Nothobranchius furzeri: one gene and its partners. The protein of the gene in region 5 purifies or fractionates together with the protein of the main gene of each other region. This does not show direct contact. Links are inferred from orthologs where the notes say so. Each region holds a gene or a part of one and is shown on either strand. Other genes may lie near its edges. The genes, in order: nepro, pop1, pop4, rpp40, rpp30 and rpp25l.

Region 1 (5,225 bases), on a different chromosome or scaffold from region 5:
TCGAACACCGCCATTCCACGCATGTACGCTGAATGCAAAGTGAGAGTTGCAGAAAATATTCAGAATGCGCAGTTTTTTGCTACCACAAGCGATCTCTGGTCCAGCCGCACATCAGAGTCATATTTGAGCTTAACTATCCACTACATGAGCAACTGGGAGCTACATAGTATTTTGAACAAGTTAATGTTTGCACAATACGTTTGCAATTGACATGTTTGCACTTTAAATATGTTTACGATTTTAATTTATGTTAAGTTACTTGAAAAACGAGAAAAACTGATTTTTGTAATTGTTTCTCTCAGGGCTTTTATCATCTCTGGTGTGAGTTTAAAATATAAGTGTGTTAGCACTGTGTTGATTATCCCTAATATGAATAAATGTTTGTTTATTCAATGTTTCTCTTCTTTAATACGCAATAGAAGTTATGCTATTCATGGATAAAAAATCGTGATAAAATCGAAATTGTGATAAAATATTGGAAAAATCGTGAAATTCTATTTTTGCCATATCGCCCAGCCCTAGTCCAGGTAAAACAGAAGACAAGACACTATACCTCTTTTGACCAAAACCCCCAGGTCTTCTGTAATCTTCCTCTTCTTTCCCTGGGTTCTCTCTTTATCTGGAACATTCTTTTTGCTTTGCTGCTTTATCTTCTGATCTTTGACGTGAGAGTGAAATGCACAATGCGTCTTCAGTAATAATTTATCAGAAGGACTCAGAATCTCAGCGATAGTAGCTGGCAGGGAGATGCCAGTGAGGTATGGCATGGGTTGGGCCTGGGACACATCCCTGAGGAGTTCCAGGACATTCGGGTACAGTTTGGCGAGCCCAACCAGGATACCACGGAAAATCACCCTGGTAAGGCACAGAAAAGGAGAACTTCAACAGTTTTTACATTTTAAGATACTGGTTTCAAACTGGTTTCAGTGGTTCTTAAGCCAGTACCTTTAGCAACTTCACATTGGACATAACTCTGTAGGCCTCCACTGACCAGAAACTGCTATCAGTTCGCCAATAAAAAGCCCAAAAAAGATCTAAACATAGAGGTAAAACCAGAGTGAACCTCGGCACAGCCTACACTCATCTGAGGGAGTTAAACGAAGCTACAAAATTTCAGACTGATGGTGACCTGGATTTGTTGCTACTGCACGTGTAAATTTAAAAAATAAACATTTTTTTTTCCCAATGGTGTGGACCTTTTTACTTTGTGGATCATTTGGTATCAGTTGGCTCTTGTTCATCATTAGCGCTAGCTACAGCAGTGTTGTAAACAAGAGCCCCATTCCCACCTGTACCGGGTCGGCCCGGGCCGGGTAGCCCCAGTCGGCCCCAGCCTGGCCCGGTTGATTCCACACATCATTGCCTTAAGCCCATGTGGGCTGCTTCTACCCACCAATCAGAGGCTTGCTCTAATGGAAGGTGTGAATTTGCTGTCAGCAGTGGGCGTGTTGGCCCTGGTCGGCCTGAAGCAGTACCCCTTGGGAAGAGGGCCGAGAATGAGCCTTGGTTGGCCCGGGAAAATTCCAGGCCACCCAGATATGTAAACAACCTACGCTACCCGGCCCGGGCCGACCCGGTACAGGTGGGAATGGGGCTTAATGGACCATTCCCACCTGTACCGGGTCGGCCCGGGCCGGGTAGCGTAGGTTGTTTACATATCTGGGTGGCCTGGTATTTTACCGGGCCAACCAAGGCTCATTCTCAGCCCTCTTCTCTCGAGGGGTTCTGCTTCAGGCCGACCAGGGCTAACACACCCACTGCTGACAGCAAATTCACACCTTCCATTAGAGCAAGCCTCTGATTGGTGGGAAGAATCAGTCCACATGGGCTTAAGACAAGGATGTGTGGAATCAACCGGGCCAGGCTGGGGCCGACCCGGTACAGATGGGAATGGCCCATAATCTAACACGAGGCACTGCTCCGAAAATGATCAGTAAAAATGGCTTTTTCTGGAGTTACATTTGCTCCAGCCTCTATTTTGCAGTTTCTCAAAGTTTCTCTTACCACAAACGACTGAGCATGCTGGTGATCACCAAACACAATAACACAAACTCCTCCAGTTTCATTTGCTGCCTCGTGAGTCTGAAACAAAAATGTGTTAAGGATAAACCCCCCCCCCAGCAATAAAGTGATCAGAAAAAGACTAAACCCTAACTAAGACGCCAGCAGTCAAAAACGACATGACACCGATACTTTTATGATGCACACAGATAACACAATCCTCTAAAACAGGATACATAAAGGCTCTTTTGCAGCGGGTCAAGGTGCAGCTTAGGAGTTTGCTGGCTCCCAGGACTTTGAGGCAGGTCCACTCCAGCGTGGGCTGACTTGGAACATTGCACTCACCGCTCTTGGTGCACAGTGTCCTAAAAATGCACACAAATTAACATTAGTTTGAAAAAAGCTGTGTAAGGTTGCGCTTTAGATATTTTAAAACTTGATTTGACCTATCCTGTTTCATCAACTATAAAGGAAGAGCCTTGGGTTGTTTGCTTCTTACATTTGAATCTTAGTTGGACACAAATTTGCAAGATCCTCAAGAGCTGCATCAAGCTTCATGTTCTTCAGTCTGTTTACACATTGTTCAACCTGTGGGAGAAGTCAGACATGACAAATACATCTAAAGAAGTCCACATCAAAACAGTTATTCTGCAGCTTTGGTGCTGACCTGTTGTAACCCCTTGAACGTCTTGTTGCCTCTCATGCTGTTGTTTAGAACGTACAGCAGCTCGTACAGAACTCTGATTTCCGTCCAAAGAATATTGCTGCGGAGAAGCTTCAGGACTTGGCTGTTTTCCCGCTGCAGGGTTTTGAAAACCTCAGCTAGAAACACACACACACACACACACACACACACACACACACGAGTGTCACCATCGAAGCACACGACGCAAAACCCCTGCGCGCACACGTGAGGGCTGAGATCGGCGCGGTTTTTACGCGTTGAAACGAGCGCGAGACATCAGACAATATAAGTAAAACACGTAATTATTTTAAAGTTAAAAAGCCAAACCTGTTGTTGATGTGAGACGTATGTGGACGCTTGATGTCGCACTGGGAAAGGGAATGTTTACCCTGTTCCATGGTTCCGCAGCCATGCTTTCTGCATTCCATGTACGGAAGCCGATTAGCCAATAGTGTTCGAGTGTGTGACGTCAACATTGGATTTAAAGGTACAGAAACAAGTTTGACACTTGAAATCGAAAATTGAAAATAATAAAACTAATAGATAAATAAGACATTTGCTTATTCTTCTATATTTTTTAAATTGTTACAGAAACAATTTACCATTTTTAAAAATCAAAGTATTTCTAAGACATTTTGAAGTGAAATTCAACATATTTTGAATATTTAAAATCTACAGAAAAAAGGATATTTTTGATAATGTATTTATACACTATGTGGTAAAATTGGAAACATTTATTAAATATTGAATAAATATTTTTAAATAATTTTACAAGTTTGCCATCCCCACGTGCTTGAGCTACTTATTTTTTTTAATGTTGCAATATTTGCAACTCTGCTCTTGCAATGTGCACACATTTAGAAAATGAATTAACGTGAATACTTTGCTTGCATAATAAAGTTTTAACACCCAGTAAAAACTGTACCAACAGATTTGTTGTAATAAAAACAATGTGTTTTATTTAACAAATGCAAGAAAATGAAACAAACTAATAACAAGATGACTCCAGTGATTCACTTAAACTCAATTTTCTTTATCCAGTTGATAACTTTCAGGTTGATCTCATCCATCACAGAATCCTCAGACCTTCCTTTCACTTTCAGTCCATGGCTGCCTCCTGCTATCCATAAAACTTCAGCCTGAGCTTTTATATCTTTCAGTACTCCACTGAAAAGCTCCTAAAAAAGATAAGTAAATACAATGACTGAAATATAATTGTGAAAGTTGAAATGGATAAAATAATACATGATGTCACTAAATTATAGATTTTAGGATATAATGAACATAAAATTAAACAAATAAAAAACTGAATAAGTGAACTTAAAAGGTACCAGGATGAAGGCCCGGTACATATTTCACCCTCACCCTGTCACACATGTTGTCCTCAGTGCCAGACACAAACAGCACATGAAGGCACTCAGGCAGCATCCGGAGATCTTCGCTCCGCTGGTGATGGATATGCCTCTGTCCTGGAGGATGCAGGGGGAAAGAGAGACAGATGACTCCCTGCACTGCTGCTTCCTTCGACTCCTCACTCAGCTGCCTGGCCAGTGCTGCTGCAGCACGACATCCCAATGACCTGCCTGTCAACATACAGAAAAAAATTTTAAAATATATATTTGTTTTATTTTTAATACTCGTTTCTGTTTCATATGTAATTAAGTTTTAGAATATGGCAACTGATCATTTCCTTGGCTTTTACCTCCAACAAACGTGTGTTTTATTGTATACTTCTGATATGATTTCAAGTAGTCCTAGAGCAAAAACACAGCAACGTGTGAATACACACTAGAATTTATTAACATAATTTTATAAAAAATGGAAAACCCTTACCCACACTGCACAATACGCCTTAACTCTATAACTCAGATTTAAGCCTTTACACGTAAAACGAAGGCAGATGAAACCATTTGATGCTAAAGTGTGTGCCAGAGAAACCAGATGTTTGTAGTTCATGTCTCCCCCTGCTCCGTGTGTGAGTACAACAGCTGTATGGACATCTTTTACTGAGGCTGGGACACACAAAGCAGCATCCAGTACTTTTGTCCCAAACGGGACCTTCACCTGTTCCTGAAAGTTAACAACGGCAAAAACGGTGTTTTTTTTAACTTGTGAAATTCTTATCTGTTCCATTTACCTTGAGACGCTCATAATCATAATCTGGCTTGAGTTAAGGTCAATAGTATATTAATTAGTAGTGTTTAAGTAACTTTTACCTCATCAAACGTCGCCATTGATTGCATCTGCTTCTTAATTAAAAATGAAGCTCGACAACGAAGGCGAGCCATCTAGCGGTCAGGAGGTGTAACTGCAACCGGCGTCGGCGACTTCAGCAGCTCAAGAATAAGAAAACATTATATAAATAGGAATGTTCTGTTCTGTGGAAGCACATTCCCGCCACTCTAAACTATTATTTTTCTCATAATTATTATTTAGTTAATCCCAACATTATATAATAATAATAATAATAATATAAAATAATATCCAACAATTATGAGATAGGTATCTCTTAAGTGGCGGCAATGGGCTTTCATATAAA
Region 2 (4,699 bases), on a different chromosome or scaffold from region 5:
TACTTAAAATGAACCAAGACTTCCTCCCAGTTGAATTCATCATCATGAAAAAAAAAAATCAAGTAGATCTTCCATTTCTCTTCGACCCTCTCCTGTAAACTTCTCCGTGTCCGGTTAACCCTAACCCTCTCAGTTGTGTCTTAGGGGGGCTGGGGAGCAGTAAAGAGAAACAGTTCCACATAAAACCAGGAACCGTAAGGTAACAGACTGGATGTTCCGTTCTGGAGGTGGGCACATTCAAATCCATGTCGTAACCCTACTTTGATGACCTGACGTTCAGATTTAGAAAAAGGGCCACAAGTTTGTCCTTAAAGACGACAGTAAGACATCCACCACCACATCCTGGGTGTTGTGTGGTAGACACACACCCGTTTCATGAAAAGGCTCAAAATTAGCCGAGTTTCAGTAAGAAATGAAGATCTTAAAAGCCCTCTCTGATGAACAGCTCCTTTGGGTTACATTAGGGCTGCAACAAACGATTATTTGGATAATCGATGAATCGGATGGGGTCTCGACACGATTAATCGATTAATCGGATTACATGGGGAAATTTTTTTAAAACTGCTAGGGAAACGTTATTTCTCTCCTTCCTTCACTTTATTTAACACAACATTATTAGAAAACAGTTCAATAGCAGAAAAACAACATGCCATCACCTAAATTGTCTCATAAGGTGTATAGACAGAGACCCTAAGCTACATCTATCTGTGACCTAAAATGCTTGGTCCAAGTTAAACAGCTTAAGGGCAATTCTCATCTGTTTTGTTTGATCTCATCTGTTGACATTTATTATAACTGGGGATGTCAAACAACTAATTTTTAAATGTAATTAAACATTGGCTGTGAATTAATCAAAATTAATCACTATTTCCAAAAATGACTGAAAAAATACCAAATAAAACAAAAGTAAATGAATGCCATCCTCCTTGTGATGATGCCCTGGGCAACTGCCATAAAGTCACATCAAGAAATGCTGCTGATCATTCCAATGATCCCAAATAGACTCACATTAGGCCACATGAAAGCAACTGAACCCAAAAATATATTAACCAGTATATAACTGCACTCTCACACAACACGCCTGCAGCAAGCGTTTTTGCTTCTGAGGACATTGTGGTTGTAAAACCACATGCTAGTAGTCTGGCCCCGGTGTGATCAACCAGTTTCTGCGGGAATGTGACGGCGGAACCAGGGCCAGATTAACACTTTGTTGTACCCTGGGCAACAATATTCAAGGGCTCCATCATCACGACCCGAGGATCACCATAATGTGGTCACATACAGAATATTTTACTGTAATATGCAGTAAATGTACTCAATAATGGAATGCCTGACAACACGTAACCTGCCCAGAGTAACCTTTGACCCACCTCGTGTGGACTGACCAATGAGGAGAGGGTCTTGAGGCCCTCTCTTCATTGGTCAGTCTGCATGAGACTGACTCTCAACTGACGTTCAGTCATAGGCAGCGAAGCGTCTCTGTGCAGCGCAAAAGCCCGGGTGGACAGTTTGTTTAATATAGGGTGACCATATTTCCATTTCCAAACAAGAGGACAGGGGATCTGTGCCTATGACATCACACTATGGAAACGCCACACAAACCATGTTGGGACCCATTTTTTGTAAGAACTAAATTAATATCAGATTCTGCCAATAAAAGGGCTCTAAAACAATTCATATGTAAATATTTTGCATATTTAATGCAAAATCTCATTTTTCTGCTTTAGTGCTGCAACAAGGTTTTATTAATAAGAAATTATTATACCTTTTGTTTTACTACAGCATTGGTAAGCTTCCTGTGCACAGATTATTAAGGATGCTTGTTTCAGCTGTGAGATTAGACGATAGGATCAATGAAAAAATAAGTTGTCCCACACTCCATGGAAACTTTCAGAGAATCCACAAATAGTGGCTTTCACATGGTTTTGTTACTTTTTGCAAGTTTAGAAAAGCAGCAGATGAGACAGCATGTCTGATAATTTAGTTTTTCATGTGATAATATTAAAACATGTCAGTAATGTCTGAGGGGCTTTTATAAACACTGTATAACTAACACTACTGGAGAGGGTATGGATTACACAGAGGCTTCTGGGGAGCCCAGTTATGGTGGTGGTGGTGGGGGGGGGGGGGGCATTTTGCCCTGGCCCCCAAAATGTCTTGAAACGGCCCTGGGTGTGTGACTGAGTTTTGAAGGTGATCTGAATTGTATCAGATGTATAAATATTACATGTGTTTAACTTATTGTTTTTTACTGGTAAAAACGTGTAGTGGAGATAAATCTACCTACATTTTACTTTTCAACACTTTGTTTTGTTTTCTTGTTTTTATTTAACTATTTTCCTGTCCTGTCTGTCTCTCATCTTCCTGCATCTCCTATAAACTCTCCAGAAAATCTGTTGCCTGGATTCTTACCTTTTCACCTCATCAGTTACTTTTGAGCAGATCAAAGGGATCTCCTGACCGCAAAGCGCAGAGCGCGTTTTCGATGCTGCGTGAGGTGACATCACCACAGCACAGGTGATGAGCTCCGCAGTAGCGCGCTTCAGGCACAAATAAGACAGAAAATAGAGAACATGTGTGGACATGAACGATCGTGTGCTAATTATAGTTGTTTGGTTGCGCCACTTTGAGAATGGACCGTGCGCTGGAAGCAGCTGCCTGGAGCGCTGCGCAACAACGCGCTGTACCACTCTCTGCTCAAGAGTCCAAAAATGATATAATATAGAAAACTTTTTTCCGGCTCCCTGGATGTGTAGGATATACAGCTCCCCCATAATTCGATCCCTGCTCCTGGATGAAAAGCCGGACATTTTCATCAATACAAGAACCCGCAGTCCGGACGCCCGGACAGAGAGTGAAAAGTGGACAAGTCCGGGGAAAACGGAACGTACGGTCACCATAGTCCTCATGAAGGGGAAATTATAGATACAGTTTTGTGCTCGTGCCCTGGGCCCTTTAGAGTTCGTGGGCCCTGGGCAATTGCCCAGTTAATCCGGCCTTGGGCGGAACCGGTTCGCAGCAGCGTGAACCTTGCGCTGATTTGCCGGCTCTCCCTCGCGCTGATCTGACTTGCTCTGTGCGCAACGGCGGGCGGGAAGGGGGCGCGCTTTTGGGAGAGTTGTGCGACACAACGAATCGATGACGCAATTCGTTGCCAACGCTTTTAGTAATCGATTTTCATCGAATTTATCGATTCGTTGTTGCAGCCCTAGGTTACATACAAGCAGTCAGCTGCTGTCAGTCCCTGAGGTTGTGTCTGGAGTACTGGGTCCTGCCAGGATTTGAACCTGGAACATCTGCATGGCCAGGCAGAGCCCCCCCCAGGAGTACAGAACCAGATGTGTTCTCACTGAAACAACCTCCAGACTGAAACCAGCTCCCGAGTAGCTCTAATATTCAGCTGGATAATGTGGGATGAGAAACCCACTCCTGTAAGGTGTACCTTGGGCCTGGCTCACGCAGGGCAACACTTTCATCTTCTTTGTTGGTAAAGTCAGCCTGGGGTCATCCACCGTCAGCCCCAGCACTGTGCCGGGGGGGAGCTCTGTGGTTGAACTGATGCCTGGCAGAATTACACAAACAAGCGTGAGTTGAGTCTACAAGCTGGCAAACACACGGGGGCGGCTGACCTTTCAGTGTGTGGAAGACATCAGCTTGCTGCTGATGCAGAAGCATGTTGCTCTCATCGCTGCAGTGCTGAGGCCACCAGAAGGTAGAGCCCAAGGACTTATCCACTTCCTTAGAAGAATAGAACAAAATGCACATTCATCCAGAGTCTGCTGCAGAAGCTGCTGCAGCTGAAAGCCCACAGCTTACCTTACAGACCGTCGCTGCTTCAAGGGCTTCAGTCAGCACAGAGTGGGACTGTGGTCCAATCAGGCGATAGCGCACAATCTCCATGGTGAGGTCACTGCAGCACATTTATAAACACTTATGACGTCTTGCCTTTTCTGTTTCTGTCTGAATGAAACTTGAACCATCACTAACTTGATAACTATTCCGGTGGAGCTGGACTTCCAGGTTACTGTAGTTCCCGGTAATCTGGTCCCATCACCCAAAATCTTCTTCACAGGAGGCTCACTGGCATCCACAGAGCTCCTCTTCCTCTTGGCTCCAGGTTTCAGCTTTGCTTCCAGGATGTTTTCAGGCTTTGGATGTGGAGCGCTTTTCTCCTTTCCACACAAGACCTCGGGGTCAATGGAGGGCGGCACAGCCTCCCAACACCGGCATACACTTTGAAGTTCTGGGAGAAGATCCTGGGCACAGAATGGAAATCACTTATTGTACAGCTTTAAGAATCCTAATAAATAAACCCTGAGATTTTATGCTCTGTTTAATCCAGATATTACTGCTGCAGAGCCGACTTAGGCTACAGCATCTGCGCCAGAGAGGCCAAACGAGGACCCAAAAATGGCCAAAAGTCTAGTTTATATCAACAAAAAGGAACTATGCAGTAAAACTCACAACTAAATCAGATCACGAGTGGTAGCACACAAACTAAACTACAGAGACAGCAAGGTGCATGCAGCAGAAGAAACCATCGGGTCGTTTAAGGCTGGTATCGCTCATAGACACACAGCTAGTTGTTAGACCTTTTAGGGCAACGAAGAGTTCACTAGCCTGGCTTCAACGTGATTCTACAAGAAATAAAACAGACATCAACAGGAAAACCAATCAGAGTGTTCCCAGTGGTTGTTAC
Region 3 (3,735 bases), on a different chromosome or scaffold from region 5:
GGAGAACATGCTAATGCAACACATGCATGAGGAGAACACGCTAACGCCACACATGCGTGAGGAGAACATGCTAACACCACACATGCATGTGAAGAACATGCTAATGCAACACATGCATGAGGAGAACATGCTAACGCCACACATGCATGAGGAGAACATGCTAACTCCACACATGCACGAGGAGAACTTGCTAACGCCACACAAGCGTGAGGAGAACATGCTAACTCCACACATGCATGAGGAGAACATGCTAACTCCACACATGCATGAGGAGAACTTGCTAACTCCACACATGCATGAGAACATGCTAACTCCACACATGCATGAGAACATGCTAACGCCACACATGCATGAGGAGAACATGCTAACACCACACATGCATGTGGAGAACATGCTAACGCCACACATGCATGAGGAGAACATGCTAATGCCACAAATGCATGAGGAGAACATGCTAACGCCACACATGCATGAGGAGAACATGCTAACACCAAACATGTATGAGGAGAACATGCTAATGCAACACATGCATGAGGAGAACACGCTAATGCCACACATGCATGAGGAGAACATGCTAACTCCACACATGCATGAGAACATGCTAATGCCACACATGTATGAGAACATGCTAACACCAAACATGTATGAGGGGAACATGCTAATGCAACACATGCATGAGGAGAACACGCTAACGCCACACATGCATAAGGAGAACATGCTAACTCCACACATGCATGAGAACACGCTAACGCCACACATGTATGAGGAGAACATGCTAACTCCACACATGCATGAGAACATGCTAATGCCACACATGCGTGAGAACATGCTCACACCACAAATGCATGAGAACATGCTAACGCCACGCATGTTGTTGGCAGGATCTGAGTAAGGGGTAGCACTAAGACCCAGGCTTCAGAGACAATCATGATTTTGTAATGTCGTGATTGGGGGGTTAAATTATGACCAATAAGATGTGATGACTCTATATAAATATAGAATATCAACCTGATTGATCTTTGAATGTTTAACCAGAAGAATTTAGGATTCTTTGCTTATTCAGTGACTATAAACACACTTCGTATTAATTCAGACAGAGTCAAGTATATAATTAAAAATAAACTTTATTTTCTAGACTATAATACATGACAAGTTATGAATAACGATATGGGATGGATGTATATGTGGTGATTGAATGTGATGTTTATCAGAACCCTTGTATCTGGAAGAAACTGAGTTCTGGATGTAAAATAATTTGGTCTGCTATACACTAGTTGATTATTAATAAAGCATCAGACGCAATGTTGTGTCTACCAAGCAGTTGCTCAGAAACTAAACCGGACCTCATGAAACCTTCATGAGAACCAGCCTCTGCAAAACACAACCACTGATCAGGAAATCCACCTGTAGCAGCTCTGCTACCAGAAGCCATCATAGTTCTGGCTCTGAGGTCTGACTGACACCTGTTATCATCAGCTAAACCCACAAACCATGACTCTACAGCCGCATAACTAAAGGGTTGAGCCAGTTAAACCACAGAGGAACCTGGGAGCAGAGCTCTGCCTTGTGAAAACATAACCTTCACATTTTAAAAAGACACATAGAAACAAACTGTTTTGTTGTTTATTATTAAGTGTGACAGTAGGTGTGTGTGTGTGTGTGTGTGTGTGTGTGTGTGTGTGTGTGTGAGATCAGCTACATGTATGCAGGACAGAGCCTCCAACTCTTCTTCTCCATCACACAGCTCCACCCAATGCAGCTGATGATGTCATCAGCTCTTCCCTTTGATGAGTCAGCTGATCTGAGGTCCGTGGCCCTCACAGGTCCATGGTCCCTCTGATCTTGAACTTCTTGGCGGAGCGCTCGCTGGCCCGCTGCTGGAACTTGCTTCCATAGATGTGTGAAACGAATCCGTTGATCTCCACGGAAAACACGCTGTTCCTCTTGGGAATTACTGACACAGAGACGGGAAAGAGAAGCTGCCGGTTACAACGGTTCCGTGGTAAAAATCACTCATGTTCCTCTGCAGAGAACCAAGTCACGGTTGTGTTGGGTCTTGTCCTCTCACCTTTGAGTTTGTCCTCCTTGGTGATGAGTCTGAAGACGTGTTTGAACTCCTGCACTAGAATCCCTGTTGTCCCCACGTATGATGGACATCTGGACCGGACCACTGAGACAGGAGAACCGGTTATGTAGTCTCACATGCCAACAATACAAGCACAAGAGAGGGTGGGCCCAGTCTGCCCTGCTGTAAACCTCTAACAGAACTTTGATCATTAGAACATCAATTTGGTTCTAGATGCATCTTTTAGTAGGAAATATAAACTCAACCAGAAGCTGATCTGGGTTCAGGACCGTGCCTGTGACACCCAGAACCAGCCAACATCTACCTGTCAGGATGGCTCCATGGAGGTCTGCTTTCAGAAGCTTCTGCTGCACCAACTGTGGACTGCTGTGAAGACAGGAGACATGAAGGGACACCATCCTGCTGGTCTACTTACAGTTCACACGTGGCGGTGACACCTATCCTGCATGCTAATCATAATAATAATCATCAAACTTGTATAGCGCTTTATTAGGACACTCAAGGACGCTTGCGTGAACTCTCACATTCACACACTGCCAGTGATGGTAAGCTACTTCGTAGCCACAGCCACACTAGAGCGCTCTGACAGAGGTGAGGCTGCCATTTGGCGCCGCCGGCCCCTCTGACCAACACCAACACAGGCAAGTTGGGTGAAGTGTCTTGCCCAAGGACACAACATGTGGCCACAGAGGTTCAGTGACGTCACAAACTCACAGAAGCGATCAGGCTTTGAAGTCGAGTCAGATGCTGTGTGGGATCCGGACAGGTAGGTCTGATAACAATTATGAACAGAACTCTGACCCATGGTCAGCTGGTGTCTCTAGAACCACATCAGAACCATGTTATTTGTCCAACACCGGGCTGAAAAGCTCAGATTCCTCTGGTACAGGAGGATTTTTGCTGACATCATCGTTGTGTGCATGTTACAATACACAACTTACACTTTACCAAGAATTAACGGGCGAAATCCCTGATGTAACGCTTATAACGGTCGTTAATCAGTGTCCTTGTTCATTATTATGACGGTTGTTGATCAGTGTCCTTGTTTATTATTATGACGATCGTTATTCAGTGTCCTTGTTCATTATTATAACGGTCGTTAATCTGTGTCCTTGTTCATTATTATAAAGGTCGTTAATCAGTGCCCTTGTTCATTATTATAGCGGTCGTTAATCAGTGCCCTTGTTCATTATTATGACTGTCGTTATTCAGTGTCCTTGTTCATTATTATAACGGTCGTTAATCAGTGTCCTTGTTCATTATTATGACAGTCGTTAATCAGTGTCCTTGTTCATTATTATGACGGTCGTTAATCAGTGTCCTTGTTCATTATTATGACGGTCGTTATTCAGTGTCCTTGTTCATTATTATGACGGTCGTTAATCAGTGTCCTTGTTCATTATTATGACGGTCGTTAATCAGTGTCCTTGTTCATTATTTTGAAGGTCGTTGATCAGTGTCCTTGTTTATTATTATGAAAGTCGTTGATCAGTGTCCTTGTTCATTATTATGACAGTCGTTGATCAGTGTCCTTGTTCATTATTATGACGGTTGTTGATCAGTGTCCTTGTTTATTATTATGACGATCGTTATTCAGTGTCCTTGTTCATTATTATAACGGTCGTTAATCTGTGTCCTTGTTCATTATT
Region 4 (5,234 bases), on a different chromosome or scaffold from region 5:
ATCAATTTATGCTTAGGTGAAATTGCACTTCCTTGATCTGCGGTCGCCATCGTTAATGGTGGAGCGCTGCAACGAGCCGGCTTATGTATATGCATGAGATCCACAAGGTACTTTGCAGTGACCATTAAAGGCAGAAAGTGGGCGTGTTGGAAGTGGGACATGATCAAAAAACACCTGAGAACATTTCTAGGTAGTCTCTGATTCATAAAGCGGAGATTGTGTGCAATTGTGCGTACTCCATATTTTATAGATCACAAACCTACTTGGCATAAGTACATTTTTTTGCTGAGTTTAAGTACAGTTTTAGTAAGAATTCTATGCTATGTTTTATAGATGAGACCCCTGACCTGTACTGGAATGGTTATTGTGTGAAGGTCCTTGAGACGACTGGTCGTGACTTGGCGCTATAGAAATAAACTGAATTGAATGTTGGAAGTCCTAGTAAGCTCTGTTTATCCATGTATTTTATTCAAGGAGTGGAAGGAGTTTGGTGAAACCATGGTCCTGAGTCAGAAAAGGGTAGAATGCCTTGTCCAGGTCAGGGATGAGGTCCTGCCCCAAGTGGAAGAGTTTAAGTATCTCGGGGTCTTGTTCACGAGTGAAGGAAAGATGGAGCGTGAGATCGATAGATGGATTGGTGATGCAGGCTTTGTACTGGTCTGCCATTGTTAAGACAGAGCTGAGTCAGAAGGCAAAGCTCTTAATTTATTGATCTATCTACATTCCAACCCTCATCTACAGTCACGGGCTTTGGCAGTGACCAAAAAAATGAGATCGCAGATACAAGCGGACTAAATGCATTTTCTCTGTGAGGTGGCTGGACACCTCCTTAGAGATAGGGTGAGAAATGTGGAGGGGCTCGAAGTAGATCCTCTGCTTCTCCACATATGGTTAGGATGCCTGCTGGACCTGGTGAGGTTTTCCGGGCACACCAACCAGGAGGAGACCTAATGGAAGACCCAGGATACGCTAGAGGGACTATGTCTCTCAGCTGGCCAGGGAACACCTTGGGAATCCCCCGGAGGAGCTGGCCCAGGTGGTTGGGGAGAGGGAAGCCTGGGCCTGGCTGCTGATCAGCAGATGGATGTTCTCTGGTGTTTTTGTCTACAGCTGACTGAACTTCATGATGACGAGAAACAATAAGAGCCAATAGTGTTTAAAACAAAGCTGTTCACCTGTAGAACTCCTACAAATGCATCACTTCCGGTAGTCACCCACAGAACAAAACTAATCTTTATTTACGCAGGTTAAACACGTGGTTAGCTAGAAACGGCGCGCGTTCCCGACGCAGGGTACACGTTCTACCTGGGATACCGACATCAGTACAACACCGGAGCAGGACCGTTCTCATTAGGTCACGTTTCTGATCCAATACGTCACAAATAACAACATACCGGTTGTCCTCCTCCGCGTCATCAAACTGCCCTGGTACGGCAGCCACCTCCACCATGATGTCACGTGAATAAACAGAAACCAGGACCAAGTTCTGCTCGGGTTACCCTAGGTTCGGACCGGAGCGCGCTTTCACCACCGCGTGTTTTCTTCACTTCCGGCGTAGACCACGTGACTACGGGGACCCACGAGGCTCTGAAAACAGCACGACATCCTCCTGCTCAGATCTACAGAACCTGTAGAACATCCAGAACTTCCGCGGTTCCGTTTGGTTTCATGCTAACGGGTTCTCGTCTGGATCCGGTCTCGACGAGGGTACCGTGAATATGTGTTCGGATCTGGACCGGACTCCTCGGACTCTGCTGGTCTGTGATCGGTCCAGTTTCCTGGACGAGAAGAACCGGGTCAGCCCTCAGGTGGAGAAGCTGCACTTCAACCACAAGGTGAGAGCTGCGCGTGCACGCGCTGTGACGAGCCAGTGTTTTGCCCATGCCGTGCATGCCCTGTCGCGGGAGCGCGCATCGCTGCACCGACATCTGAGTCACGAGGCAACTGAAGTATAAACTTTTCTCATCCGGGTACTTGCTGAATAGATAGGTGAAAATAATAACAGAACCCTGCTGCCAGGTACGGGTCCAGGTGATGTCCAGTTTCTGCTGCTTCTACCTGCAGCATCACAAAGTCGTGCTACCTTCTGTTGACTGGGTTCATCTGTGCAGGTATCTGTACTGCTGCCTGGGTGTAGCGTCACCCCCTCCAACCTGGACTTGGTGATGAACACCTTCAGCAGTTTCTACCTGATCAAGAAGCTACCAGTACACGAGCTGCTGGACCCAGGCCTGCAGGGTGCCATAAACCAAGGTAACACAACACCTGTATATACCATTTAGTTATCAGTACACACCTGTGTGTACTTGTTATTTAGTACTTACCTGTACACACTTGTCTGAACCTTCTTCAGGTGTTGTGTATGGTCTGTCCTTTGGGACTCGCATCGATGAAGATACCTGTGTTGCTTTGATGCCAAAAGGTAAAACAGGCGACAGCTTTGACTTCTTCAGTGCAACATGAAAAAAACTGAGTGGTTCCTCTGGTCCCTGCAGGACGTCTGGTTCTGTCTCTGGACAAAGACTCGTACGAACTTCTGGGGGTTGAGGGGAAACCGTCCAGATTCAACCACAGAACCTGCAGCAGATTTGGTCAGGTTTACTTTTGTTTTCTAAAGGTCACCAAGTCCAGATCGATCCTGCAGACCTTCATCACTCTGGTCTGGTCTCTGGTGGGTCTGCAGACCTTCATCGCTCTGGTCTGGTCTCTGGTGGGTCTGCAGACCTTCGTCACTCTGGTCTCTGGTGGGTCTGCAGACCTTCATCACTCTGGTGGGTCTGCAGACCTTCGTCACTCTGGTCTGGTCTCTGGTGGGTCTGCAGACCTTCATCAGTCTGATCTCTGGTGGGTCTGCAGACCTTCATCAGTCTGATCTCTGGTGGGTCTGCAGACCTTCATCAGTCTGATCTCTGGTGGGTCTGTAGAACTTCATCACTCTGGTCTGGTCTCTGGTGGATCTGCAGACCTTCATCAGTCTGATCTCTGGTGGGTCTGTAGAACTTCATCACTCTGGTCTGGTCTCTGGTGGATCTGCAGACCTTCATCAGTTTGATCTCTGGTGGGTCTGCAGACCTTCATCACTCTGGTCAGGTCTCTGGTAGGTCTGCAGACCTTCATCACTCTGGTCAAACATGTCACCATATCACCAGCTGTGATGACACGATTTTCGTCTCCAGATCCAAAGTTTGTTTAAAGTTTCCACATTTTCTGTCAAGCGTTTCTGTATAAACCGCGCGGTTTGCGTAGAAAGTCCCTTACACCGTTTTCTGACCCGTTTTGTGCAGAAGCAGCTTTCTAAAGGAAGTCCCAGGACTATAGGTGTTGGGTCTCCAGGTACCAGGTGTGAAGGGACCCGTGCGGTAGCCTAAAAAAGCCAGTTGACTAAACAGCAGCAGAGCCAGGACACTGGGTGGAGTTTTAGGGTGAATTTATCCTCACTAGAAGGAACCTGCAGGAAAGAATGTCCAGATGTTCCTGACTCAGGTCCGGGTTGTTCAGTCCTGACCTGTTTGCTGAGCTCAGCCTGAACAGAACCAGAAACCAACCGAGTGTGATGTCTCCTGCAGTGGTCTCTGTGGACCTGACGGACAGCAGCATGGCACCTGGTGGACGGGGCCACACCCGGCTCCTTACAGGTCTTCGGTCACACCTTCAGCTGCAGACAGACTTCCTACTGTCCCATCATCCAGGTGACACACCATTGTTAAGGATGGTTACATGTGATCTTCTCCTTACAGGTGAAACTCATAAAAACTAGAACAAGGGGTAAAGGTCACTGTTGTCACTAATCCACCCTGAAAGGTGAGACTAATCAATGAGACAGACTCATCCTGTCAATCCAGATGTTTCCGCCTTTATCTGTTCTACCTGTGATGATTACGGCTTCCAGATGATGACGACCCCACATTTAACATCTCAGAATATCATGTAAAGGTTCAATGTTCTCCAATCAGCTGATGAATCCACAACACAGGCAGAGGCTTCCTGAGCCTTTAGATGGTCTCGCAGTCTAAACTGGACTTATGGACCAGATTCTCTTTTACTGTATCACCTGTACTCCATTCTGCCTCTCAGAGGGTGGGGCCTCTCTACAGCCACTCCTGTCTCGTTATGATTGGTCCAAACACGAACCTGAGGTCAGCTGCCGCCACCTGACTGACCTGACCTGTCCCGACTTTCGGTCATGTGACTGTCACAGTCTTCTGGAGTGGATTGGAGCTGTGGAGGCCGACATCAGCTGGTGAGTGGTCCAGTCAGGGTCACGTGTCCAAGTGTTGTGACTACAAGTCGTTCTTCTGTGGTTTCAGTGAGAGCTCATCCAGCAGCTTCCTGTCATCGTTCACCTGTCCAGAGCCCAATGACGTGCTCAGTCATGCTCTGAGCGTGTCCATCTGTGGCCTGCTGTTGCCACACGATGTGCAGCGACTGATCCAGGAGCTCAGGTTAGCTCTCTCACACAAGCACACCTTTACCTGAACAGCTGACGACAAAATAACTCACCTGTGCTTCAGGTGTCACCTGCAGCAAACTCAGCTGGAGTCCTGGGCTTCACTGACGGTTCACGGTTTCATCGATAGTCCAGTATCATGGGGGGACAACGAGCACGGGGTTCTGAGTGGAGGGGAGAACTTCTACAACTTGCTGATGTTCCCTGACCACACCTACCACCTCCACCTGGCCACAGGAGCATATGACACTTGTCCACCATGAGGTGACCTCTGGGTCACATACCCTCTCACCAAGATGAATTACTGTTGTCATAGAAAAAATCTGCCCCAAGACAGGAAATGGGTCAACAGTGCTGCATGGTTTCTTTCTGCATAGCTCCCTGGAGCGACCTTTAACCTTTACCTGAGTTTTTCTTTGGATTGTAACCTTTGACCTCAGAGCAGAATGTTTGTCTCCCGATTTATGAGTAAACCTGAAAATAAAACAACAATTTAACAACAGCTTCCTGTCGTGATCCCAGTGATGCGTTACCGTGGTAACGTGGACATGTGGTGTTACCGTGGTAATGTGGTTCACGTGGAAGTGTGGTGTTACCGTGGTAATGTGGTTCACGTGGAAGTGTGGTGTTACCTTGGTAACGTGGCTCGTGGACATGTGGTGTTACCTTGGTAACGTGGCTCATGTGTGATTAGTGAATAAAACAGTCGTTTTTTTTCCAGAACAGGGAAAAGTTCTGTTGGACTTTATTCTCTATTACATGTAGAAGTTCTGCTGTCAGAACGGCT
Region 5 (5,260 bases):
ACATTTTCACAAATTTTTATTAAAACGGGAATACGACCTGCCTCTAGGCGAAAAAGTAATGTCCCCCTAATTCCAATATTGGGTTGTAACACCCTTTACTCAACAAAGGTTGGAAATAAAAATTTTACATGAAAACAGAGGATCTATTTTTCTCAGAAACATTCACATTCTTCCATTTATGAAGAGTCAAAACGGGACATTTTAATTTAAACTGTTAATTGATTCAGCTGCTTTTAGGAAGGCCCCGCCTCCTCAGCTGTCAGAGGGTTTCATCCTTTTGGCAGCAGGAGCTTCACCTGTACACATGAACACAGAGAGGGACCTGGGTGAAACAAGCATTACTTTGTTTGAGTCTGATGAGAAACCAGATGATGAAAAAACATCAGTTGGAGTTCTGAAGGACAGATCACCATCGCCTCCAGCCTGATTCAGCTTCAGATAAATGCAGTGGAAACTTACTGTCGGCAGAGTCCTGCAGCGCCTCCTGCTGGGTTTTCCAGGTGTGCACAATGCCGCTGGCTGTCGACCTGGTTTCTGACAAATGAACAAACAGTGTGGTAAACAGTCTGAACCAACAGGAAGCCCGAGTCTGCAGAACTTCAACAGGATTTACCCGCACGCAGTAAAACAGATCTGCAGGTGGACGAGATAGATTCTTTAGCATCTCGGTTGGACAAACCAAACAGCAGACCTCTGAGAACCAGATCAGGAACGCAAGACATGAAATGTGTTGTACAACACTACACACCAGACACAGTTCTGTGAAAACACACACGATGGTCTGTTCTGATATCTCACAGACTGCGGCAACACTGAGCCCTATGTCAGATTAATGAACAATGGTTAAAGGATACAGGTTGGCGATGTCATATGGTCCTCTGAGCTCCCAAGACTGAAAACACAAATATCAGGTCAGAGAAGTACGGTGGACAAAAAGGGCTAAAACTCAGTTATTAGAAATGTTCTGATTTGGTGAAACAGAACCTTTAGTTAAATTCATGTTTGATCCACAGACGTAGCTGATCACTGACCTTGTCAGCTGCACTCGACAGGATCACGTTCTGAAAAACAGAAACAGAGCTCAAGATCTCACCTGCAACGTGATGTCACAGAGCTTATGTCAAATAACAGCATAGTGTAAATTACTCTGCAGCTAGCCAATCAGATGCAAGGACATGCATACCTTCCCTTTACAGCTCTCCATCAGGCACACGGCGTTGGCGATGGTGTAGCGCCTCATGGTAGAGTCTCTGATGGCTGCAGCATAGGATACCTCAAATGCAACGCCTCTCTCGATGGCCTGAACTTACACAGGTTCACACATTCATTAAAACACACACACACACAAATAAACAAACAAACAAAAGCCTTGGTTGTCACCGCATTGATCGGCGCTCTCTTGAAGAAAAAGGGTAGCTTCTCTGTCACTGGGATGCAGATGATGTCGATATCGTACAACGTGCAAGCTGCCTGAATAACACACACACACACACACACACACACACACACACACACACACACACACACATAATACACATACTTCAGTAAAAATAGAGTGCTTTCCACTCAGTCTGTTTCATACAGGTGTAATTATTGTACAGCTGTGTTTTCCAGGACAAATTACAGCTACTGCTATTACAACCACAGTTAGTTTCTATTTTTTATAATGTTGTGTTTCTTGAAAACTTTTCCATTCAGTGAAATTGCAGTTTAGGTCCTGTTGTGTTTTCTAATTAAATGTTGTCAATTTATTATTTTTTTGTCTTTTTTAAACTTTTCTTTTGTTAAATATCCAGTTGTGTTTCAGATGGTCTTTTGTTTAGTTTTGTTGTGCGTTTTTCCAGTAAGTTGATTTTTTAAAGTCACATATTTCATCCATCAACATTCCTGTAGTCAGTGAAAGCATCATCCTGTTGGAGAGATGAACAGAGTGTCAGTGAAGCTCACATGGAAGACTTTCTCAGAGCTTGAATGGAGGGCGATGAGGTCGAAAAATCGAAAAGCTGGAGAGTTGGTCGGCTGTGAGCACGCACGCACGCACACACACGCACGCACACGCACGCACGCACACACACACACACACACACACACACACACACACACACACACACACACACAAAACAGGCTGTGGCATCACATCATACAATCCATTTCAAGATTATTGATCCCTTAGCTCTAATTAGACAACTCACATAGTGACTGGCGTCAGACATCACCAGCGTCAGTCTGTTCAGCACTCTGATTGGACGAGAACGGCCCTGCACCATGGGCAGCTTATCAAAGATCTCATTGATCGGCTTTGGTGAGGGAATTTCCTGCAAAGACAAAATAAACATACTCCCAATAATAAAAGTTTGAAACAAAATGTAAATTCATTGACAATCAACTGATTGATTCAGCATCTGCTTAACCATAGAGATCAAGTGAATGCTCGGAGATCAGTTTTATAAAACCCGTTTTGATGTTTTACCATTTGGATGTTTCTGTTCATAAGAATGAATGAGAATGTAATAAAGTATCAAAACGCAGCCACATCAAAGGCTTCTATCTGACTCCATGCTGTTCCTCAATGCAGCGCAGTAGGTAGTCTGACCTGTTTCTTCTTGGCTACGAGCTCAAACACATAGTTGATGGCGACCGTGGAATATCCAACTGTAGGAGGGGAAAACAAAATCCCAGTTAATCCCTTCAGTGAGGTTTGCATCATCCAGGTTCTGATTCTGGATCTGTGGTTGTGTAGGGTTTAGGAAATTGAGTGCTTTAAGAGCTCTGTTTGTGTGAATCAGGTGGATATCACGATCCTGTCACAGTCACTGATGTAAATACTCCAAACTACTGAAGATCAAGTAAACATCTGATATCTTTCTGTTTCCTGTCAGACGTAATGATTATGTCTCAGGCTTTATCCTCAACAGTTATTGTTCAGTTACGCACGTGCAAAGGGTCAAATGGACAACAAAGAATGCTTTGTTATGAAATATTGTTCCTAATCAAAAGTACATAATCCAAGGCGATGTTACGGGTTTGTGGGTTTTAGATGCAAACAAGCTGTGATCGATTATTTCTCTAATAAACGGATTCAACTTTTCCCACAAAATCTAGTGATAAGGGTTGTTCTTAGTGATGTTATAAACAAGCATTATCGATTAATATCTTAACAAATCAAGTCATTTACTGACAGTGTTTAACTGATACCAGAGCCTCATCAGCCGAACCAAAACCAGCTGAGTTACGAGGCGGACCAACTAAACACAACACTAGAAAAGGTCTGGTTTAAGGTCGAGAATACTCACGATGAGCAGCTGTTTCCACCAAACTCTGCAATTGCTTTATATTAGACGAATACATCACGTTTAGGTCCATAAACACAGACATGGTACCACGAACCTATACAGCTCCACATATAGAAAACCGCAAGGCTTGCTGGGAGCTGGAGTCTTGTTCTCGATGAGTGAGTGACACGGGCTGAGGCTGACACAGAATATTTTGTATTACCGCCACCTGCTGGTGGCGGAAGCCCCAAGCCCAAGAACGACAAAAGAAGAAAACCAGTGGATTCTGTGATAAAGCTAATCTTTTTTCTCAATTTGACATGAACCTGTTTGGATATTTCCTCCTGGGAAGACGTATCTTGTTTTAAAGTGACTTAAACACACGCGCGCGCGCGCGTGCGTGCACGCACACACAATATGACTAATTTAAGCATACATTAGTAACAGAGGTGCATTTTTGTTTTATTATAGAAAGTATTTTAGTATCACTTTAATACCAGGACAGACAAATTACAAAGAAATCAAATACTTTCATTTTTCATTTTCTAAATTTTGACTAAAGTTCAAATCAATCATATTTACTGCTTTACACTAGCCTGGCAAGCCAGACTAAATAAATCTGTTATTTAAACTTTGCAACGCAAGAGGTCTAGTAGTTCACTAGGTTATTTTTATTTACTTTGTTGCTTCCAAAGAACTGCAGCTGCAGTAACAACAGTCTGGCAGCAGGGGGCAGCCGTGCCAAACCGCTGCTCAGGGAACAAACAGCAGCAGCAGAAGAAGAAAAGGTCAGAGGTCAGTGAAAAGTCGAAAATTTACTGCAGACGTCTGAGATTCTCGCGCTTAAACCGAACCAAAGTGGATGTTACACTGCTATAACAAAGCGGGTCAGCCTGAACTCTGAGCGGGTTTTTGTGTTCAGAACCACTAGCCTGACACGAATCTATAGTTTCAGTGTAACCTAACAGAAACGAGCAGATTTACAGAATCCCTGATTATTAAACAGGGCATCCTACCGATCTAACACTTCTGCCTGTGAAATAAATCTGATGCAGTGTGAGAATAATTGTTGGAGGTCACAAGAATAATTATTCAGAAAAGTGTATTTAAATCAGACCTGATCAGACTAGTTTGAGTGGAAAACTGCTGCTTATGACTGGTAAACAGGTTAGTATCAGCTTCATTAATGAACATCTTGCAGAAACATAAAAACAGACTCTGTGTGCAGGCTGAGGCAGCAGAACCACACCAATCCAGTTCAGATCAGTCTGGCCTAATCCAGCAGGTCCGGTCCAGAATGGCTTCCCTGTTAAGACCTCTGAGGATTTTCTTTCCCGCCAGATGCTGTGTTCCGACCCGTTTCTACTCAGGCTTCGTGTCCAGGATGAGGTTCTGAGGCTTAGACATCTTATTTATTAATTGTTTGGTTGATCTGCTGATCATGGATGGATGTTTCTGTTCAGATTCCTGAACAGTCTGAAGGAGTGTGATGAGGCGTGTGTTGCAGCGCTGCAGAACGCTCACATTTTCCTGTTTCATCGGTTGGTTCCACTGCTGCAGCAGACTGGCCGAGGAAACTTATCTCCAGTCTTTCTCACCTACTCAGGTACACAGCCCAAGAACCAGAACCCACAGACTAGCGAATCCAGAAAGTCAGGGACAGATCAAGATCTAAGACTTCAGTCAGAAGAGGAAGTAGTAGAACCTTCACTTTCAAACATCTCTTGTGATTATCTTCCAGATGTTCAGTCTGTCTTGCAGAAACTTGGTTCTGACGAATCCCTACTAAAAGAGTCCATTCTGGTTGGCTGTTCAGATCAGAACCAGGCTCAGTTCTGTCTGGATGTTGGTAAGAACCTGGTAATAGGTGAGCATCAATTTGAAATGGCTCTGAGTTCTGGTTCTGGTGCATGCGTGATACGTTTTAGGAGAACTGGATCAGGCAGCAGTAGCAGAAGAATTTAAAGGTTGCTTCATGGACCTGAGGA
Region 6 (5,475 bases), on a different chromosome or scaffold from region 5:
AGTCGGGTGGGGGCAGTAGCCTAAGTCAAGAGGCCCAGACTTTCCTCTCCCCAGCCACTTGGGCCAGCTCTTCTGGGGGGATCCCAAGGCGTTCCCTGACCAGGTGAGAGACATGGTCCCTTCAACGTGTCCTGGGTCTACCTTTAGGTCTCCTCCCGGTTGGACGTGCCCGGAAAATCTCACCAGGGAGACGTCCAGGAGGCATCCTGACCAGATGCCCGAGTCACCTCAACTGGCTCCTCTCTATGTGGAGGAGCAGCGAATCTATTCTGAGCCCCTCCCGGATGACTGAGCTTCTCACCCTGTCTCTAAGGGAGAGCCCAGCCACTCTGCGGAGAAAACTCATTTCGGCCGCTTGTATCCGCGATCTCGTTCTTTCGGTCACTACCCAAAGCTCGTGACCATAGGTGAGGGTAGGATCGTAGATCGACTGGTAAATCGAGAGCTTTGCCTTCTGACTCAGCTCTCTCTTCACCACGACAGACGGTTCACCAATCTGCCTGTCAATCTCCCGCTCCAGTTTTTCCTCACTCCTGAACAAGACCCTGAGATACTTAAACTCCTCCACTTGGGGCAGGACCTCATCCCTGACCCCATTATAAATAAATGCTGAAAAACAGCCACAAAGTGTGGCAGGAATATAAAGGAGACATGTGCCCCCCAGACACTTTAGGGGACACTGAAACAACTAAACCATTGACATTGATGAGCCCTGCGTGACTGCCACCATCTTTAATCTGTTAGGCCCCCCTCTCTTTGACAGAGGAAGTGTCAGCATGCTGATTCAATTACTTCTTGAATACGGAACATATTTTGAGACTTATAATTACAACTTGTACAGTGCTGTGAAGGAAAGGGATTGCTACTGAACAGAATAAAAAGAAATTGTTTTATTTTAACAAATATGTTGTAATAAGTCAGGATGTTAGGGACAACTGAAGTTTTCCCATTTAAAGCAGCTGATCAGTCATGATTAGGGTTGCCAACCGTCCCTTGAAAAACGGAATCGTCCCGTATTTAGAAACAAAAGTGCACGTCCCGTATTGAACTCAAAAGGGACGCACTTTGTCCCGTAATATAGTATGGATCAAAATTAGTCTGTAGTCTATTACCGGAATTAACGCTTTGTTTGAAAGCCAGCCCTTCGCCTGCTCTGTGACTAATGAACTGACCGCATGCTTACACACGAATATGACGATAAGATTACCGCTTATTTCATTGGTCGAGGAACGGTCGCTTGGGGAGAAGATACCGGAAGAAAACAGACGACAGCAAACAGCACGGCCAACCGGGAAACTAACGCCGACACTGCTGTACAAGTCTCGGACGACAGTACCCCTCCGAGAAAGAAGAAAAAAGGCTTCAAAAATACAGGGAGGAATGGGAAAAGGAAAATTCCTGGCTGGAAAAACTGCGCGAGAACACCTATAAAGCGCACTGCACCGTGTACCGGCGCAGTTTTTCCAAAGGGCATGGTGGACTCACTGACCTCAAGCAACATGCGTCTAGTAGTAGCCACATGAAAAACATAAAGGACGTGAAATTACGGGGAACCCTCGATCCATTTGTCGTCCACAAGGCCATGGCAGAAGCAGATATGGTAAGTAAACATTGCTTTTTTAAACCCTCTGGTTAAAGTGAAGGTATTTATATGAAGAAAAAAAAACCCACTGTGTTGGGGCTTGTTTACCATTATTTTTATTATTTTTGTTGTCTGTTTCTGTTTTGTCATTAGTTTTTCTATTTTTTTTTTTTAACTTGGGTGTTTAGTTTCGATGTAGCCTTGTCTTGGTTTATATGTTGTTTGGATAATTTTAAACTAAAAGGATGGATAAATACATAATAAATAAAGTGAACTATTGTATTGTATAAAAGCTATACAATGCAATAAATATACAATAAATGTTTTCCATTTATTTACCACTGTAAGTGTTCTATGTGGTGCTTATAACCCAGGTTTACTTCTTATCTCCATTGGCAGGTTAAACATCTCTATGGATGAGCTTTATGACGAGTGTGTCACTGCAGCCAGCCTTCTGGAGCACCTCACCAAAGGACCTCAGGAGAAGGAAAAGTGGCAGTCCAAGGGAACAGCAGAGAAGTGTATAGAAATTCTTCAGGCAGCTGACCTCTCCAACATCCAGCCTGTTGTATCGTTTGTACTCAGCATCCCATCTTCCACTGGATTGGCAGAGAGGATTTTCTCTCTCATGAAGAATAAGTGGACTGATGTGCGGAACAAATGTTCTACTGAAATAATTAGATGTGAGCTCATTGTCACTCTAAATTGTGACATGTCTTGCTCAGAGTTTTACTCTGCAGTACTGAAAGACAAACAACTCCTAAATGCAGCAAGATCTCAAAAGAAATACAAATGGCGAAAATAGTCTGTTTTCACATAATGTAGCATTGAGTTTTTGAGTTCATGAGTTTGGACTTTTTTTTTTTTACTTCAACCATAGGCTACAGTCAAGGCCTTTGAGGCACAAATATGTTTACAGCTTCTCCACAGACTTTCTGTTTGCACTTTTCTAATTGCACTCAATGTGCAGTTACAGCGTTGCTCTTTCTGTTGTTTTCTATTAATTTATACAATTTTAAGTTAAGCAGAACAGAGTTGTTTTAAAGAGAGCTATTTATATTCTAAAAAGTAAAGCATAACAGGCTACCGTTTAAGAAAGAGACCTACTTTTTTTTGTCATTTTGCACAAAAAGTTGAGCATAACAGTTTTCTGTTTAAGAAAAATACCTTTGTTACTTATAATAATTTTGTAATTTCACGCCATAAATAAATGGCTAAATGATCATTTGTTTCCCATGTTTTCATATCACAAAGAATATGCATCTTCTTAAACCAACTTCAAGTCAAATAGTAAAAAAAAAAAATCCTTTCACACCCACACACAAAAAAAGAGCAAAAAAATCACCACGCTGGGAAGGGTGGCCTGGAGCGCCCTGCCCGCGAGGTGTCCCTTATTTATTTTTCAGGGAGTTGGCAACCCTAGTCATGATTAAACACATTTCCAACCTTTTGAGTTTTTAAACAGATATAAAATTCAGTTCTGAGCGCAAACCAAACTCCACACAAAAATAGCATTTTTACCCAGATGTGATGACGTCGCTGAACTTGGTTTTAAACGAAGGTTTAAAATACAATTCTGCGTCTTTTTAAGTGTTCGGCATGCTTATGACATCATCACACGCAGAAATGATACACAATATAATTTAACTTCGCGTTCAATGCGGTGTTAGCCTTTAGCACACTAGCTAGACAGCTAACTTCAAACAACAACCACTCCAACTAACCACATGTGCCAACAAGGCTGTTCAAACTCTGACCTGAAAACACCTCAGATGATAATAAACCTCACCGCAGGAAGCTGCTTCACCCGGACTCACCTAAAGCTAACCGTTCAGTAAACAAGTGTTTTTAAAATGGTCATAAATAAGACAAACGCAGGTCATAAGGGGTAACACAAGATAAAAACCTTAGGTGGTCCGCTGCAGCATGAAAACACTATCTTCTTACCTTTACTTCTTTCCTTTTACTACTGAACACTGCTCCGAGTCCGCATGTTTACCACAACAGGTTACGTTACCGTAAAACCACAAAAACTGTCGTAAACTCACGAGACACTTGTAGTTTTTTAAAGTACCGCGAATCATACGTTTCAGAAAAACAATAAAATTCCTATGAAAACCATGGAAAACAAGCCCAGATGCTCCATCACAGCAAGGACTATTTTGTTACACTGTCTAAGCAAATAAGACTGCAGAACTCATAATTAATTAAGAGTTTTTATTGTGATGTTTCAAAGCAAACTGAACACAGCTGTTGTTTCTCTCTTAACACGTCAGGTGACAAACGGAAGCTCCAGGGACATTTCAGTAAATTTCAGCATGCCTCAAAATGTACTCACAATGTAACAATACATTGATCTACTTTGACACATCCATCATGGCCATCGATCCAAAAAGCAAAAATCAATTGGTAAAGAATGTATGCAAATTCATTTTTATTTTGAAAATTATTCTATTTTGAAGTTCCATTGAGACAAAAATTTCCACCTGTTCCTGCACATCACCAAACCAGGGGCGGTTCTAGACCAAATTTTCCAGGGGGGCCACTGTGGGGCCAGTATTTTTTCATGGGGGCACAAGAAAAAAAATCATATTAAAAGACAATGAACAAGTAAACTATTACGGCGAATGCAGTAATGGCTTACTTGTGAAAGTAAAACTGGCATGTTTTTATGGTACTCAGATAACAATTCTGAATGCTTCACCGCAACATGAGACTTGAGTAAAAAACAATTCTAGTCAATTATTATAGTTTGTGACTTTATTTGAAGATTATATGAACTGTACATATGAAAAATAAACATTCAAACAAATAAAATATCTGCACAATACAATCTGCTTTTTGTAGTCAACACACACACACACACACACACACACACACACACACACACACACACACACACACACACACACACACACACACACACACACACACACACACATAAGCAAAATCACTTCACCAATTGTTTTGATAAACTCACGATTTTCTTTAACCTTTTTACTGAGTTCCTTGTCGAGTATATTAGCCAATGTTGTATTAGCTTTCACAGCCCTCTGGTAGTCCCTCCACGCTATCATTGAATCCTTATGCCTTTCAGACTTTGCGTGTACTGAAAACCCCCCTCCTCTCTCAGTTGCTTTTTTCCAGTTCCTAAATCCACATGGTGAGTCAAACACACTTCCTGCGCTACTTGGTGGGCTAAAATGTCTGCATGCATGACAATAAGTAGAGTCCATAGTAACAGAATATTCAACCCAATTGGATGACTTTCATACCAGCTTGGCTGAAAGCTGCATCTTCTGTCTCCTATTAATGTCACTGGAAATGTTCTCAAATGAGGCTGAGTAGGTGGGTCATCCTTGCACTTGCTGATATCTGAAAGAAAATAAATGTTAGCATGAGGATAAAAGTCATAATTAGTTAACTCTGAGTCTTATTTTATCTATTTATTAAATATAAACAACAGAAATTTTGGTCCAGAGTCAGCATGCCTCAAATGCATTTTACACACAATATGAGCTGCAAACACAGAGGGGTTTGTTTAACACCCACAAACCTGACGGTAGTGCACACAGTGCACATGACAGAAGATGTCCCTCTTTTTGCTCCTCACTCTCTCCCTCACAGCCTACATCTTCCTCCTCCTCACTCTCAGGGTGGACAGCCTCTGACCTCTCTGGTTCCTCTCCAACCAACTCCTCCTTCTCTCTTTCATCCTGCTTCTCAGCTCCCTTGTGACTTTCATCCTCTCTCTGCCTATACTGTTCTTTATTAACAGCCGTAAAAAAGGACAAGATGTCCCTTTTTCTTTTCATGGCCGCTGATGCTTCCAGTCAGTGGTGCGAGAAAGTCATAGATAAATTAATACTGTGATCCAATCTCAACGTGTCTAA

What was found.
Region 1: the proteins of rpp30 (region 5) and nepro purify together in Homo sapiens (affinity purification with mass spectrometry; 3 studies listed by BioGRID and IntAct, counting the BioPlex papers as one, with this or other methods). This does not show direct contact. The link is inferred for Nothobranchius furzeri from reciprocal best matches to the Homo sapiens genes RPP30 and RMP64.
Region 2: the proteins of rpp30 (region 5) and pop1 purify together in Homo sapiens (affinity purification with mass spectrometry; 5 studies listed by BioGRID and IntAct, counting the BioPlex papers as one, with this or other methods). This does not show direct contact. The link is inferred for Nothobranchius furzeri from reciprocal best matches to the Homo sapiens genes RPP30 and POP1.
Region 3: the proteins of rpp30 (region 5) and pop4 purify together in Homo sapiens (affinity purification with mass spectrometry; 4 studies listed by BioGRID and IntAct, counting the BioPlex papers as one, with this or other methods). This does not show direct contact. The link is inferred for Nothobranchius furzeri from reciprocal best matches to the Homo sapiens genes RPP30 and POP4.
Region 4: the proteins of rpp30 (region 5) and rpp40 purify together in Homo sapiens (affinity purification with mass spectrometry; 3 studies listed by BioGRID and IntAct, counting the BioPlex papers as one, with this or other methods). This does not show direct contact. The link is inferred for Nothobranchius furzeri from reciprocal best matches to the Homo sapiens genes RPP30 and RPP40.
Region 6: the proteins of rpp30 (region 5) and rpp25l purify together in Homo sapiens (co-immunoprecipitation; 3 studies listed by BioGRID and IntAct, counting the BioPlex papers as one, with this or other methods). This does not show direct contact. The link is inferred for Nothobranchius furzeri from reciprocal best matches to the Homo sapiens genes RPP30 and RPP25L.

The regions. Positions count from the first base shown.
Region 1 is NC_091754.1:12,628,769-12,633,993, reverse strand, and holds the start of nepro (nucleolus and neural progenitor protein), read right to left. Parts: upstream 3,187-5,225; 5' UTR 3,099-3,186; coding exon 3,014-3,098; intron 2,824-3,013; coding exon 2,669-2,823; intron 2,590-2,668; coding exon 2,501-2,589; intron 2,367-2,500; coding exon 2,238-2,366; intron 2,083-2,237; coding exon 2,005-2,082; intron 856-2,004; coding exon 554-855; intron 1-553. Other genes in the region: tex30 (testis-expressed protein 30), read right to left, coding at 3,700-3,864, 4,052-4,269, 4,389-4,440, 4,520-4,756, 4,903-4,974. UniProt on the Homo sapiens protein: May play a role in cortex development as part of the Notch signaling pathway. Downstream of Notch may repress the expression of proneural genes and inhibit neuronal differentiation thereby maintaining neural progenitors.
Region 2 is NC_091745.1:50,264,906-50,269,604, forward strand, and holds part of pop1 (ribonucleases P/MRP protein subunit POP1), read right to left. Parts: intron 4,257-4,699; coding exon 3,988-4,256; intron 3,911-3,987; coding exon 3,817-3,910; intron 3,739-3,816; coding exon 3,630-3,738; intron 3,563-3,629; coding exon 3,443-3,562; intron 1-3,442. UniProt on the Homo sapiens protein: Component of ribonuclease P, a ribonucleoprotein complex that generates mature tRNA molecules by cleaving their 5'-ends. Also a component of the MRP ribonuclease complex, which cleaves pre-rRNA sequences.
Region 3 is NC_091749.1:7,822,675-7,826,409, forward strand, and holds the end of pop4 (ribonuclease P protein subunit p29), read right to left. Parts: intron 2,453-3,735; coding exon 2,391-2,452; intron 2,171-2,390; coding exon 2,069-2,170; intron 1,955-2,068; coding exon 1,818-1,954; 3' UTR 1,107-1,817; downstream 1-1,106. UniProt on the Homo sapiens protein: Component of ribonuclease P, a ribonucleoprotein complex that generates mature tRNA molecules by cleaving their 5'-ends.
Region 4 is NC_091751.1:33,813,350-33,818,583, reverse strand, and holds rpp40 (ribonuclease P protein subunit p40), read left to right. Parts: upstream 1-1,644; 5' UTR 1,645-1,718; coding exon 1,719-1,835; intron 1,836-1,881; exon of another isoform or gene 1,882-2,019; intron 2,020-2,111; coding exon 2,112-2,253; intron 2,254-2,353; coding exon 2,354-2,422; intron 2,423-2,495; coding exon 2,496-2,591; intron 2,592-3,566; coding exon 3,567-3,689; intron 3,690-4,074; coding exon 4,075-4,240; intron 4,241-4,307; coding exon 4,308-4,442; intron 4,443-4,511; coding exon 4,512-4,710; 3' UTR 4,711-4,949; downstream 4,950-5,234. Other genes in the region: riok1 (serine/threonine-protein kinase RIO1), read right to left, coding at 1,395-1,450. UniProt on the Homo sapiens protein: Component of ribonuclease P, a ribonucleoprotein complex that generates mature tRNA molecules by cleaving their 5'-ends. Also a component of the MRP ribonuclease complex, which cleaves pre-rRNA sequences.
Region 5 is NC_091756.1:51,152,522-51,157,781, reverse strand, and holds the start of rpp30 (ribonuclease P protein subunit p30), read right to left. Parts: upstream 3,450-5,260; 5' UTR 3,376-3,449; coding exon 3,294-3,375; intron 2,653-3,293; coding exon 2,594-2,652; intron 2,316-2,593; coding exon 2,193-2,315; intron 2,020-2,192; coding exon 1,948-2,019; intron 1,471-1,947; coding exon 1,381-1,470; intron 1,301-1,380; coding exon 1,184-1,300; intron 1,062-1,183; coding exon 1,032-1,061; intron 893-1,031; coding exon 855-892; intron 694-854; coding exon 614-693; intron 535-613; coding exon 460-534; intron 297-459; coding exon 253-296; 3' UTR 1-252. Other genes in the region: nudt13 (NAD(P)H pyrophosphatase NUDT13, mitochondrial), read left to right, coding at 4,459-4,661, 4,736-4,878, 5,014-5,121, 5,201-5,260. UniProt on the Homo sapiens protein: Component of ribonuclease P, a ribonucleoprotein complex that generates mature tRNA molecules by cleaving their 5'-ends. Also a component of the MRP ribonuclease complex, which cleaves pre-rRNA sequences.
Region 6 is NC_091745.1:59,629,978-59,635,452, forward strand, and holds the start of rpp25l (ribonuclease P protein subunit p25-like protein), read right to left. Parts: upstream 3,633-5,475; 5' UTR 3,530-3,632; intron 3,513-3,529; exon of another isoform or gene 3,489-3,512; intron 1-3,488. UniProt on the Homo sapiens protein: May be a component of ribonuclease P or MRP.